Oryzias latipes: one gene and its partners. The protein of the gene in region 3 purifies or fractionates together with the protein of the main gene of each other region. This does not show direct contact. Links are inferred from orthologs where the notes say so. Each region holds a gene or a part of one and is shown on either strand. Other genes may lie near its edges.

Evidence for each region. Proteins that work in one complex are often made in the same cells at the same time.
Region 1: the proteins of mettl9 (region 3) and zinc transporter ZIP10 purify together in Homo sapiens (co-immunoprecipitation; 3 studies listed by BioGRID and IntAct, with this or other methods). This does not show direct contact. The link is inferred for Oryzias latipes from reciprocal best matches to the Homo sapiens genes METTL9 and SLC39A10.
Region 2: the proteins of mettl9 (region 3) and slc30a1 purify together in Homo sapiens (co-immunoprecipitation; 3 studies listed by BioGRID and IntAct, with this or other methods). This does not show direct contact. The link is inferred for Oryzias latipes from reciprocal best matches to the Homo sapiens genes METTL9 and SLC30A1.

The regions. Positions count from the first base shown.
Region 1 is NC_019879.2:3,433,196-3,437,250, reverse strand, and holds the start of zinc transporter ZIP10, read right to left. Parts: upstream 2,820-4,055; 5' UTR 1,988-2,819; coding exon 1,982-1,987; intron 1-1,981. UniProt on the Homo sapiens protein: Zinc-influx transporter. When associated with SLC39A6, the heterodimer formed by SLC39A10 and SLC39A6 mediates cellular zinc uptake to trigger cells to undergo epithelial-to-mesenchymal transition (EMT).
Region 2 is NC_019882.2:6,335,931-6,340,001, reverse strand, and holds the start of slc30a1 (zinc transporter 1), read right to left. Parts: upstream 2,820-4,071; 5' UTR 2,464-2,819; coding exon 1,896-2,463; intron 931-1,895; coding exon 71-930; 3' UTR 1-70. Other genes in the region: serine/threonine-protein kinase Nek2, read right to left, coding at 3,531-3,736, 4,001-4,068. UniProt on the Homo sapiens protein: Zinc ion:proton antiporter that could function at the plasma membrane mediating zinc efflux from cells against its electrochemical gradient protecting them from intracellular zinc accumulation and toxicity.
Region 3 is NC_019877.2:20,101,714-20,105,777, forward strand, and holds the start of mettl9 (methyltransferase-like protein 9), read left to right. Parts: upstream 1-1,202; 5' UTR 1,203-1,217; coding exon 1,218-1,397; intron 1,398-1,934; coding exon 1,935-2,125; intron 2,126-2,197; coding exon 2,198-2,407; intron 2,408-2,569; coding exon 2,570-2,754; intron 2,755-2,836; coding exon 2,837-3,072; 3' UTR 3,073-4,064. UniProt on the Homo sapiens protein: Protein-histidine N-methyltransferase that specifically catalyzes 1-methylhistidine (pros-methylhistidine) methylation of target proteins.

The DNA of each region.
Region 1 (4,055 bases), on a different chromosome or scaffold from region 3:
GTCTATATTTGTTCTTTTGAACAACAACAACAAAAAAAATACAAAAAGAATTTATTATACCTAGCTGGATTAAAATAATGCAAATTCTTATTACATTTTGTTGTGAAGTCACTGACGTTTAAACACTTTCACGAAAAAAATGACCTGTTTCAGGGGCCAACGTCATTATAGAGTCACACCAGAAAAAATTGGAAGCAAAAGTTCACCAAGAAATCATTAAGAAGGTGACTATTAGCATGTAACTTTCTAAGGCCAGTGTTGAACTCTCATTTTTTTGGTTGTACAATCCAGGAAAAAAGGTTAGGACTGTTAATACATGTGACCAACAACAATATTTAGCTTTGGACATGCTTAAAATACATGCGGCCAATGCAGCAAAGTGCACCTGGCTCCATTGATTACGTGTGGCCAACATGAATGTCAGTCGGTTTTTGTGCTTGGTCACGCATAAATATGTGCCAATAACATCTGCCAATCATTAAATCAAACATGGAAATGTCTCAAGACATAAAACATAGAATTTAACTGCATAAATATTACATTTGTCCCCTTCTCTTTTCTTTAAACCAAGACAATCAAGTTGTTAAAATAAAAATATATCCAAAATTCTGTTTTTTAAATATTTACTTCAATAAAAAATGAAGCTGTCTTTTTTAGTGTTCCAGTGCAAACTCAATTAAACATGGGTTAGGATTTTGGCTAATTCAAATCTTTAATTTTGTTTTTTGGGCTATTTGGAAATATGTTTGCTCATCTGTTTAGGGTTATGCGCACTGCTGCAAAGATAACTATATTACAGATTTTATCCTCATAATATTTTTGGTCAACTAAGGCACATTTACTCTATTCTTTTCTTTTAAAGAACAACAGTAATACAATGAGCATAGAAAAAAAGACGTCATCATAACATGCAAACCAGGGTAAAAATAACCTCACAATAAATCCTTAATTGAAATGACAAAGCTTTTATAAGGTTTAGTATTTTTAATGGTTTCCCTATTACTTGACATCAAATTTGTTCCTAAATCTGTCACTTTCCCACTTGGTTTTTTTTTTTTTTAGTTTGTGTCAAACGGTAAATTTAAAGTATAAGAGCTCATAGGGCATCTGTTATAAATTACCTTCCTGTTGCGATAATTGCTTTAATATAAGAAAATCAAGAAAGGATTTAAATTTAACACAGATGGAGGCCATGGCCAGTTATAAGAATTGTTCGATTGTCATTTCAAAGTTCATTAAACTGCTAATGTAATCATGCTGACACATGCAGCTTCTTCGTCTGAAGAATAATGCTTTTATTTAGGAGGAAAAAAAAAAGTAGTATTCAGGATTTGTTTGGTCGATTACTGTTAGAAAGACTGACATCAAACAGATCAAAACCCTGACAATTAGTAAAAAGCTGTAATTCAACAAAGCACAACATAAGCAAAATCTTGGCAGAAATATCCATAATGTGTAGGACTGGCACATGAGAAATCAGGGTTTGATTCCCAAGGGGGCGCAAGGAGCTTCATCCAGTGTGAGCCTTTGGCCAATACCCTTCCCGCTACAGCCTAGCTGTGTAGCCACAAGGAGAACCAAGTCTTCCTGTGTCAGTGACAGGAAGGCCATCAGGCGCCAAACTCTGCCAAAGTCACCTGTGATTCATTCCAAGTTTGTTTGCATATTTAAGACGCCAGCAACAAAACATATAGAGGGACCAACTGGTCCATCTGGTTAGGGTTTTGTTTTAATGAACAGGACAGATGACTGCATTCTGATAGAAAGTACGACTACCAGCACTGGTTTACTATGACTAATGTTTCCAGTTCCAGTTCAACTATTTAAGAAAGAACAGTCACTTTACAGGTTAACAAAATACAGCCCATCATCCAACATAAAACTGTTCCATTTAACTTTTGGAAAAAAATGACACAGGAGCTTCTTAAACATGTGATGTTTTCAGCTGGCTGGATTCCTCAAAGTGGTAACCATGAATCACCTTCATGGGAGGGTATGCTGATGCACCGTGGGCTGGGTTTGAACAGGGAGAGAAACACTGAATCAGAAGTGAGCAAACTTCTCAATGCCTCACTTTAAATCCAGGTCAAACTTTCAACAAATGTAAAAAGCTTTAAGAGTTCGTAACCCAACCAGATTACGCATATAAACGTAGTTTCAAGTTGACACGTTTTAGTTCCTACATGCAGCTTTCTTCGCGTGCTTAAGCCTGTAGAGACACTGATTTAGGCTAATCAGATAGGAACTGTTCACCATGACGAAACGCATTTTCAACTGTGTAACAGATGGGGACAGAAAAGCCGCGTGCAGCACAACGAAAAGCTAAGGTATATGAAGCGCCGCGCTCCACACACTCTACACCGCAGCGGAATACTCTACACGTTGGTCAAAGTCCATCTCGACCACGAAACTGGCGAGCCTCCGCGGTGAAGAAGCGGCGACACTGCCCATCTGTTGACCGGCAGACGCTACACGTGGTGCGCCTCCAAGACACACACTAAAGCTGACCGCGGCTCTTCTTCCGCGTCACTGGAACCAGACTTTCACAAAACGAACTACCAAACGCGCGCCAGCGTTTTCTCCCGAGCAAAGGCAATGCCCCGTTTTGGCTAATACGCTGCTTAAATATCCCACTCGATTTTTAGCCTCGCGCCCCATTCGTAAACGCGCGGATTTAAAGCAGCAACTGTTAGCTAGCAGACCACACAGGAAATTAGCCTCGTGTCTCCAAAGAGCCTCGCGCTGCTTTGATGCGTCTAACTCTGCTCTGGATGTGAACAACTAGAATATTAGAATTGTACACCGTAGCTAACGCTACCACGGTCCATGTTGTGGGAGTGAATGAAAACAAGTGGAGGTTTTTTTATACAGTTACCTCACTCGAGTGCCGTGTGCATCTCCTCTCCGCTCGGTACTAAAAAAAAAAGGAAAAGTCCGCATGAATTTACGTCACTGGACGGATGGTTGGCGAATTCAGGAAGCTGCTCTACGTCATTTCCCTCCATAACTGCAATAGGACTGCCGTAGGCTTACGCAAATGGCGCAGAGAGTCAAAGAAAGAGCCTTCTCAGGCGAAATGCAGGTGCTTATGTGCTTTGTGTCTCAAAGGTTTCATGTTAATTCAGTGCAGAAACACTTTCTACTTAACCTGCTATGTAAAATTCATGATAAAAAAACAACTTTAACAAACAGAAAATAGGAATTTAAGAGTTACATTTTTGAATTATTTGCCTTTTTTCCAGATTTTACTTTAATCTCTTTAAGAAATCTTTATTTTCTTAAGGAATATAATGTAAAATTACATTTAGTTATTTTAAATGTTAATTTTGTAGCCGGCCAGATTGTGTTTAAATATAAAAAAAAAAAATCGGTATTCCATTGTGTCCTTTTTATCCCTTAATTTGATACAAACTGGGATGTACCAAATGTTACAGTTTCTTAGAAAAACAATGGATTTTTATGTCAAAAGGAGCAATTTTTTGTGGACAAGTCTGATATTACACTAAAAATAAACACATATTTGGCATTTCCTAATTGAAGTATTTTAAAAGCTTAAGAGGGCTCTGTCTAATTATTTAAACCATAGTTAACAATTTACCTTTTGTTTTGTTTTATAAAGATAATAGTTGTAAGCTGCAGTCCATGTGCCTCTAACACTTAAGCCTTAATTTTCAACTTTTAATGGGTGAGAAATTCTGCATTCAGTGTTAATGTGGCCTACCAAAAAGCAGGCATTACAGTTAGACATGGTAGTTGAAAGCTAAATGTATTATCTCATGAAATACATATAAAAAAAAATGTCCTTAAAGAGTAACCTGCTTTTAACCGAATACTGCTGTCATTAACCTTGGAGAGCAGCAGAATTCCTTCCTTCAGTCATTCACATTGACAGGCATGTAGATAGATAATGAGAACAACCAGACTCTCATCTTGACTATAAAAAATGAATTTGGTTCGCAATTTGATTTTTGGGACTACTCAATCTGTTAACGTTCTTTGAAGTTATTATAAATCAGTTCAAACCACCTTTGTCTTTTTGCAATAATGTTATTCCT
Region 2 (4,071 bases), on a different chromosome or scaffold from region 3:
AAAATGAGAGTAATGCTTAAGCACAAAGTGGTAGTTTTCCTGCTGCCTCTCTTTATGTGAAATCCCGGACTCACACAGAGGACTCCACCTCTCTGGTGACAGCAACCTCCGCCTCAGTCCGAGGGCCCCCCTGAATGCTGGGAACCTGCTCCGAAGCCTCGCTGATCACCTCTAGGCCAGAGGCAGCAGCTGCTTTAGAGTCACTGGCAGACTTCTGTCCGCAGCACAGCTTAGGAGCGCACTGAGTCCGGCAGGAAAGCTCGCACTGGGAGCCTTGAGTTTCGGAGTTAAAGGTGACGAACTCAGGCTGGATGGTGGTGGCGTGGATGCCCTCGTCGTGGAAGAAGTCCTTGATGCGTTTGGCCACATCCATGTAGGACGTGGGGTCGTGGCATTTGATGTGCGCCGTGGCAATGATTCTGCTTCCTGCCAGCTGCCAGATGTGCAGGTCGTGGATGGCCAGGACGCCGTCCAGGCTGAGCAGGCGCTCGTTGAGGCGGTGCATGTTGATCTGCTTGGGGACGGTCTGCAGCAGGATGAGAGCGGACTCTTTGAGCAGAGGGTAGGTGGTGTAGAGCAATATGCCCACCATGATGATGCACAGCGTGGGATCCAGGTAGAGCACCCAACAGGGCCCGGCTTTTGTGTCCGTGTCCTGCAGATCCACTAGAGTGTGGTTGATGTGGCGGTGGTCTGTCTTGTGGCTGTTGATGCACGGGTTCGTACAGCTTGGACCTTCGCAGGGCTTCCACACGAAAGTGAAGATGACAGAGTTCACCACCACGATGACGGAGCCCAGGGCGTCCCCCAGGACGTGCAGGAAGACGCCGCGCATGTTGAGCTGCGACGACGCATCGGCCTCGGATTCCATCTCCTCGAAGTGGGTGTTGCCGTTCATCTGCACCTCTGTGCTGTCTTTACAGCTGACCTCTGCAGAAAACAACCGTAGAAGAAGGTTTAGACTTCTGTAGTGTCACACTACATAATCACATAGACTTTGACCTCAAGATACCAGCAGCGAGTTTAAAGAAGATTGTTGTTCTATGCAACATCTGCGTTAGTCCACTGTGATATGTTCAATCACATCAACCAACATGTTTTCCCTTTTGAACAAAAGCAGCTTTTCTGCAGAGGGCTCCTCAACCTTGTGACTGATTCTTTAGCACAAGAGCTCGGGGCCATGCGCAAACCAGTGAAACACAGAAAGCAAACTTCGCATGTGGCATCTGAGTCTTCCTAATTCAGATTTAGTAACAAAAAGGCAGAGCTTAGGAAGCCGTTTCTCTCAGGGCACCTCCAGGTCGTTCATCAGGGACTAATGATGTGTCCGGGGCTGTCGAGTCCCAGAGTCTCTGATGTATGACCCACTAATAGCAATCGGTGTACAGGGGTGGAAGAAATGAAGGTTCATTTATTGAAACTGGCAGGGCTTAACAAAAGAGGAGGGTGTTCTTTACTTGATTTTAACCCTTCTTTGAATGAAGAAGGGAGGAGATAATCTTATTTTGAAATCCTTATGCACAGAAAAGATGTGTTCATAGAAACACATGAAGGCGAGGCTGTCATCAGCATCACTGAAGGGGGTCTTTTTTGAACACAAAATAAAGGCTACAAATCCCAGGTTGTTTTGATAGCTTTGGTAAAGGAGTACTTCTCACAAAGCAAGAAACGTCTTGCTTGTGTCGCAACACTTTTCAGGGATGTAGTGACTCAACAAATTATATGCATTTGAAAACAAATAAATGTCAAGACTGAAGCTGACAAGAACACAATACAGATTAGTCAGGCAGTTGTTTGAAAAGCTGATGATTTAAGGTGGAATCTGAGCTGTTTACAGTAAGATTAGGCTCAGTTAACGCCACCATGTCAAATATAATGCACGTTTCCATACATACCCATGCTTGGTTTGGTGTTGCTGGTGTGATTCCCCACCAGGTAGTTGGTCTCTTCTCCAGCAGATCCGTTCCCGGCCTTCTGGGACTTGCCATGTTTCCCCTTTTTGCCCTTACCCCCGTGAGAGTGTCCCCCGTGCGAGTGGCCGTGGCCTCCCCCGGCGTGCCCATGAAACAAGCAGAGTCCCAGCAGGTTGATCAGTAGCCCCGCCGCGCCGACCCCGGCGACCACCATCGGGCTGTCGATCTCATGGGGTTCGGTGAAACGCTCCACCGCCTCCAGCACGATGGTGAAGCACAGCGCCGTGAGGAAGACGGCGTTGACCAGAGCCCCCATCACCTCCGCCCGGATCCAGCCGAAGGTGTTCTTGTTGGTGGCCTGAGTCTTCTCGGCGAAGCGCACGGCCACCAAAGCCACGATCAGCGCGATCACGTCGGACAACATGTGAAAGGAGTCCGACAGCATCGACAGAGACGAAGTGATGCGACTGACCACCACCTCCACCAGGAAGAAGCCAAAAGTCAGTGAAAGCATACAGAGCAGGCGCGCTCGGTTGGGTTCGCAAGCCATTTTATAAATTTACTAGTATTTTTAATTCAAGTTTTAGTCTAGAAAATGTCTAAGATGTACGACAGACACCGGGACGACGGTAAGCTAGCTCCCTAACCTACGTTTAAGCTAACTGCTCCAAACAGACAATAAAATCCGAGCTACTGCGTCTTCCCGGTCTGTTTTTATCTACCACCCGCCACCATCACTCATCTACACCCAACGAACACCGCAAACATTTTTCCACAAAGCCCTAAACCTGGTAACCGTGTGAATACACCGTGTTCTTTTCCAGGATATTCCAGACTCATCTGCCGACGATTTCCAGTTTGCAGACGGTTGAAACTTTGCACCCGAGCCGGGCAAAGTTTTCACACGGAACACGAAGGGCAAGACCCGCCCATCACCGTTCCCATTGGTGAGTGGAAAACTAGAACCCATGTGATTGGTCTATTTCACCAATCACGCAAGTAGGAGGCGTGACTTAGCAGGACAACCAGGGTTGCTACGCACGCTGTCCACAACTGAAATCCCGCGACAACTCATTTCCTTTTTTTTTTTTTTTGGTCAGGCACGCTTCACTACAACTACCCTGGCTTACTCCTTCATTTGGATGGACTCACATTTGTTTTTATTAGAAACTGATGACCTCTCGTGGAGAGCAGACGTTAAATTGTCATTGGACTATGAGATTTACTGTTTCTCTTTTAACTCGTTTATGTTGATTGCTTCAAAGCAACATTTAAAATCATTTATTTACTCTTTGAATTCGTCTGTTCATAATAAATAAAAAACCCATTTGTGACATTTTTGTTTATTAATTTTCAACAGTGGTTCATAAAATCTTTTTTTTTAATGAAAGGGTTGTTAAAACAGCAATAATGTGCACACTATTTTAACACTTTCAACAGCTGCCATTGACATTTACACAATCTATAAATCATTTAAAATATAGTTGGACAACAAAGAGAGCAACAACAAAACTTGAAATACACAAGATAAATTAGCTTCACTAAAATGCCAAACAATTATTAAATAAAAACATAAAATCCAGTTGTAATTCAGTCATGAAGAACATCAGGATGCGCTCAGCGTATGCCGAGCATCTGCCTGCTCTTGAATTGGCACATTTGCTCCATCTCGCTGAGTTTTTGGGCGCGTAGCTTTGCAGCCTGCAGTCTCAATTTCATCAAGTCCTGAGACGTTGCACTCTGGCGACCCTCTGGCTGCTCATTCTCTATGTTTTCACCAGCAAAGTGGACCTTCTTCTTCCCAGGAGACAAAATCTCCGCATCTAAAATCAAACAGCAGGGATCTGATTAACACGACTTGAAAGCGCTTTTTAATAATCAGGCAGATTTCTTTTGTCAAGAATTTGGTTTGAGCTGAGAATGGCTTTAAAACTTGTTTATTGAATAAAAGTTCATTGTTAGATTACAAAAAAAAGATACTTTATTTACTTGATATAAACACAATAAATATTTCATTCATTCATAAATTCATAGCCCAGCTGTATCTAAGTTCAGTAAGTCCAGAGGTCTTTGTTGGATTCCCCTACCTATGTCTTCGAGAAAGATCAGGTCCTTCTGCTGCTGCAGCTTGTAATTTCTCAGTAAACTCTCTGCTCTA
Region 3 (4,064 bases):
CTCGGATGGACTATTATCTCAAAACCCAGAGTCAGTTGATCCACCAGCATGTGATTCCCCACAGAAATCATCTTCAGAGAGTATGGAAAACACAGCACCGTACTTCACACGCAGTGGTCGAGCAGTCATACGTCCTGCCAGATACAGAGACTAGTTAATGTGACAGTTTTGTGTTCATACTGTTGCTTTGATTTGTTTAATGGTTACGTAAAAGAAAAGAGTATGTTCGTTTTAAAACATTTTAAGAAATAAGTTAAATGTTTGTATGTCGAAGTTTCAGACTACTGCACTAAGATGCACATTGTTAAATGTAAGGTTGTTTACAATCTGAATTTGCCTAGCCATTATGTTAAGAGCATAAGACCGTCTAATGTTCAAATTATTTAGAGGGTGCTTTTGTGTTTAAACAACTGTTGAAGATGTTATGACTAACATGTCTTGGGAAAAGAGGGATGTGGTATATTGTGATAGACAGTAATAACCACCGCCACCAATAGATGGTGCTGTCGGCCTGTATATGCCATGAGGGGTTTCAGAGTAAAGTACATGTAAAAGCTCTTGCACCGAAAGCTGTGTCCCTGTCGTCGGTCCTAATTAAGAGACCCGCTGATAGCACCCACGCTAAGGTAACTCGGAGCAACATCATATAAAGTCACAACAATTATTATTATAATTATCATCATCATCATCAGTCTAATGGAAAACATTTTTTTCCAAGTATTGAAAATCATGATCGTATTTGTTATTTTTATTGTTTTTACATGTTTGAAATAAATAAATCACTACATACATTCGGTATAAGTTAGATACTCTGTATGATTAATGGCTTGAAATGTGGAACCCCCTTTTCAGCAGGAAAACAGAAAGTTGCCGGTGTTTGCCGACAGGGGGCAGTAAATCCCCAAAGATTCGGTGCTATGTCAACCCAAACACCCAGAAGAAGAATGCGGATATGGTTGTTTTTATTGTTAAAGGGGGGAGTGTTTCTCATCCCGGCTCAGTTTCTGCCGTTTCAGCTCAGCAAACAAAGCTCCGCTTGGACTAAGATGGTGCGTAAATAGCAGCTTGCCTCCGTAAAGTCCCCCCACGCCCACCTCAGGTTGGTTTACAGTCCTGGAATAGGAGACGTTTCTCCTCTCGGGGTTTTCTCGTCTTACCTGCTCTTGTCCCTCTGCTGTCGGCTGCCGCTCTCTCGGCTCTCAGACATTGTTTTCCGTATGTGTCATCTACAGCTGAAGACTCTGTTTTTTGTAGCCTGGCTGCTGGGCTACGTGGCGTTTCTGCTCTCCATCAGGAGAATGTGGACCGCTAAGCACGCGCGCAGCCCGCTCGTGCGCTCTCTAGTCCTGAATATGGTGAATGAGCACGAGGCCAGTGGTGCCAGGGAAACACACGAGGTACGACTGTCCTTATTTTTTTTCTGAAAATATAAAACTACAAAATCTAAATTTACAGTGTTTATTTTAAATCCAAGAATGTCCTTATTCGAATGTGTCACGAATTTGTCATTAGTTATTTATTCGTTGCTCGTTTAGCCTCTTTGCACTGACCTAAATGATTCAGAGGGATGCTGAAAAGAGAAACTTCTGTTTTGCAAAAGAAACTATGCTGAAAGAGACAATGTGACAGTAGTTTTAAAGATGACTGGGATTGAAACACAAGGGGGGAAATTGGTTTTGCACAGGAAAGACTATTTTTTAACATTTAAATAGGAAATAATTCTTAAATTCTACTTTCTGCTGTGTAGTTTAACACAGCCCCACCTCTGCTGAGCTGAGAAAATTCAATCCAAACAGACCTGAACTGTTTTCAGGGAGGGGCTGTGGGGTAGGTAAAGGGTGGTATTGTATGAGACTGGTGACAGGAGATGGAGTTCACCTCAGGACTTCTTAAAAAGTGTTGTGAAATCAAAACCTCTTGTTCTGTTTGTTCAGTGGTACCGATGCTGCCCAGATCTGCTGGGAGAATCCGTCCGGCCTCTCTTCATCCAAAGCCACTTGGACTCGGACACCACGGATTTTCTCAACAGGAGCGCAGAGAAGTCCGGCTGGCTGTTCACGCAGCTCTACCACTCGCTGGTGTCCACCGTCCTAAGCCCCGTTTTGTCGCGCACCTCCATTAACGGGTGAGCGCTAGTGGGTGTTTGAATTGCAGCTTGTGTTCCTCTTCCTGCTCCTGACCCTCCTCTGTGTCACAGGGTTTTGGGGAGAGGGTCTATGTTCGTGTTTTCGTCCGAGCAGTTCCAGCAGTTGCTCCGGATCGGCCCAGACTGGACGGCAGAGAGACTCCTGGACCTTGGAGCTGGTGATGGAGGGGTCACAGAGGTGATGGGAGTGCATTTCAGGCAGGTCTTTGCAACTGAGGTGTCTGTGCCAATGAAGTGGCATCTGCAGAGGAGGAACTACAAGTGAGTAGAAGCATATCCTAAAAGCTTTCACAGGTTCCTTCCCTTCAAGCCAATACAAGAATGCAACCACAGAATAACACTGTGTTCTTTTGGGTTGAAATTAATTGGCAATTAGAAGTTTTTCCTCTCTGTCTTTTTGTTGTCTTTTCCCGTGTGCCACAGGGTTCTGGGTATAGACGAGTGGCAGCATGTTGGATTTCAGTATGATCTTATCAGCTGTCTGAACTTGCTGGACCGCTGCGAGGATCCACTGCACCTCCTGCGGGAAATAAGAAAAGCCTTGGTTCCCAAAACCGGACGGCTCGTCTTGGCTGCTGTGCTTCCCTTTCAGCCCTACGTAGAAGTCGGTCAGTGAGGAATCCCATTTCTGTCTCTTCTGCTGACGTTTCATCTAGCTAGAAATCCAAGCATCGTTTCTCTGCTTGACAGGCGGGAAGTGGGAACGACCAAAAGAACACCTGAAAGTTAAAGGAAAGACGTGGGAGGAGCAGGTGACCGATCTGTCCAGCGAGGTTTTCCCGCGGGTGGGGTTTGAGGTGGAAGCGGTGACGCGTCTGCCGTACCTGTGCGAGGGAGACATGTACAATGACTACTATGTGCTGGATGATGCGGTTTTTGTTCTGAAGGCCTCCGGCGACTCGGAGCAGTCTGTTCATGAGCTCTGAACACAACACGGGGCCCAAAATTTCTTCTCAGTACCTGGATTTTAGTGCAATTCTTCTTCTTCTTCCTCATGCATTTATTCATCTCGGAAATTTAGAAGCAGGGAGTTGGGCGCAACACAGCAGTGATTTCCTTTTTCTTTTTTTTTTTAGTTTGTTATACTGTTATTTCAAACGAAAACCTAAGGGGGATCATCCTTTCTAAAAGTTTTTCTGTCTTCCAAGTCCATTATTTGTGATGTAAATGTTTAACTGTCAACGTTTTAACCAAAATTTCTGACAATATTTGCATAAACGGTTCAATTTATAGTACTACATATTTGATTTCACCATTGCACAAGATTTTTACAATTGCCTGTTCACCCTCTGAGACATAAAATCCCACAGAGGTTTTCCAGGTGAAATATCCCAGAGGTGAAGCACTTTATGAGCGTTTCACGTTGTTCCCCCCTCAAGGTTGGTAATGATGGCAAGATCCCAAGCATTAGTTGCACAATGCTGGACGCCGCTCCACTAAGATGCATTTGCTACACGACTGCAGGGAAAACATGCCGCTTGGCCTATAGGAGTGTCACACCTTTTGGCATCTTTCTGTTGGATTATCAGCGTAATTCTGTGCCACGTTTGGCACCACCAGATCCTAAACTTGATCATATTTTACGAACTGTTTCATTTCCAGATCACTCGTAATGGATCTATGCACCTGACCAAAACAGTTTTAACAACTTGAAATCTTTTCCATCCTTCGATTCAGTATTAAAGCCAAACCTCAAGCTAAACTTTATGGAATTCCATGCTTTTGTTTTGCTTTGTTGCACTGAATTTAATATCAAGTAGTGAATTTCTTTCTAAGTGACAACAGGAAACCGAAAAGTGCTGCATACGTTTGATATATTCACAATAAGAGTATCTGATTGTAGCTTTAGATCTATAAATTCGATCTGTTTTTACAGGATGTTTAGGTTGATGAGTTTTTATTTATCTTTGCTGTTTGG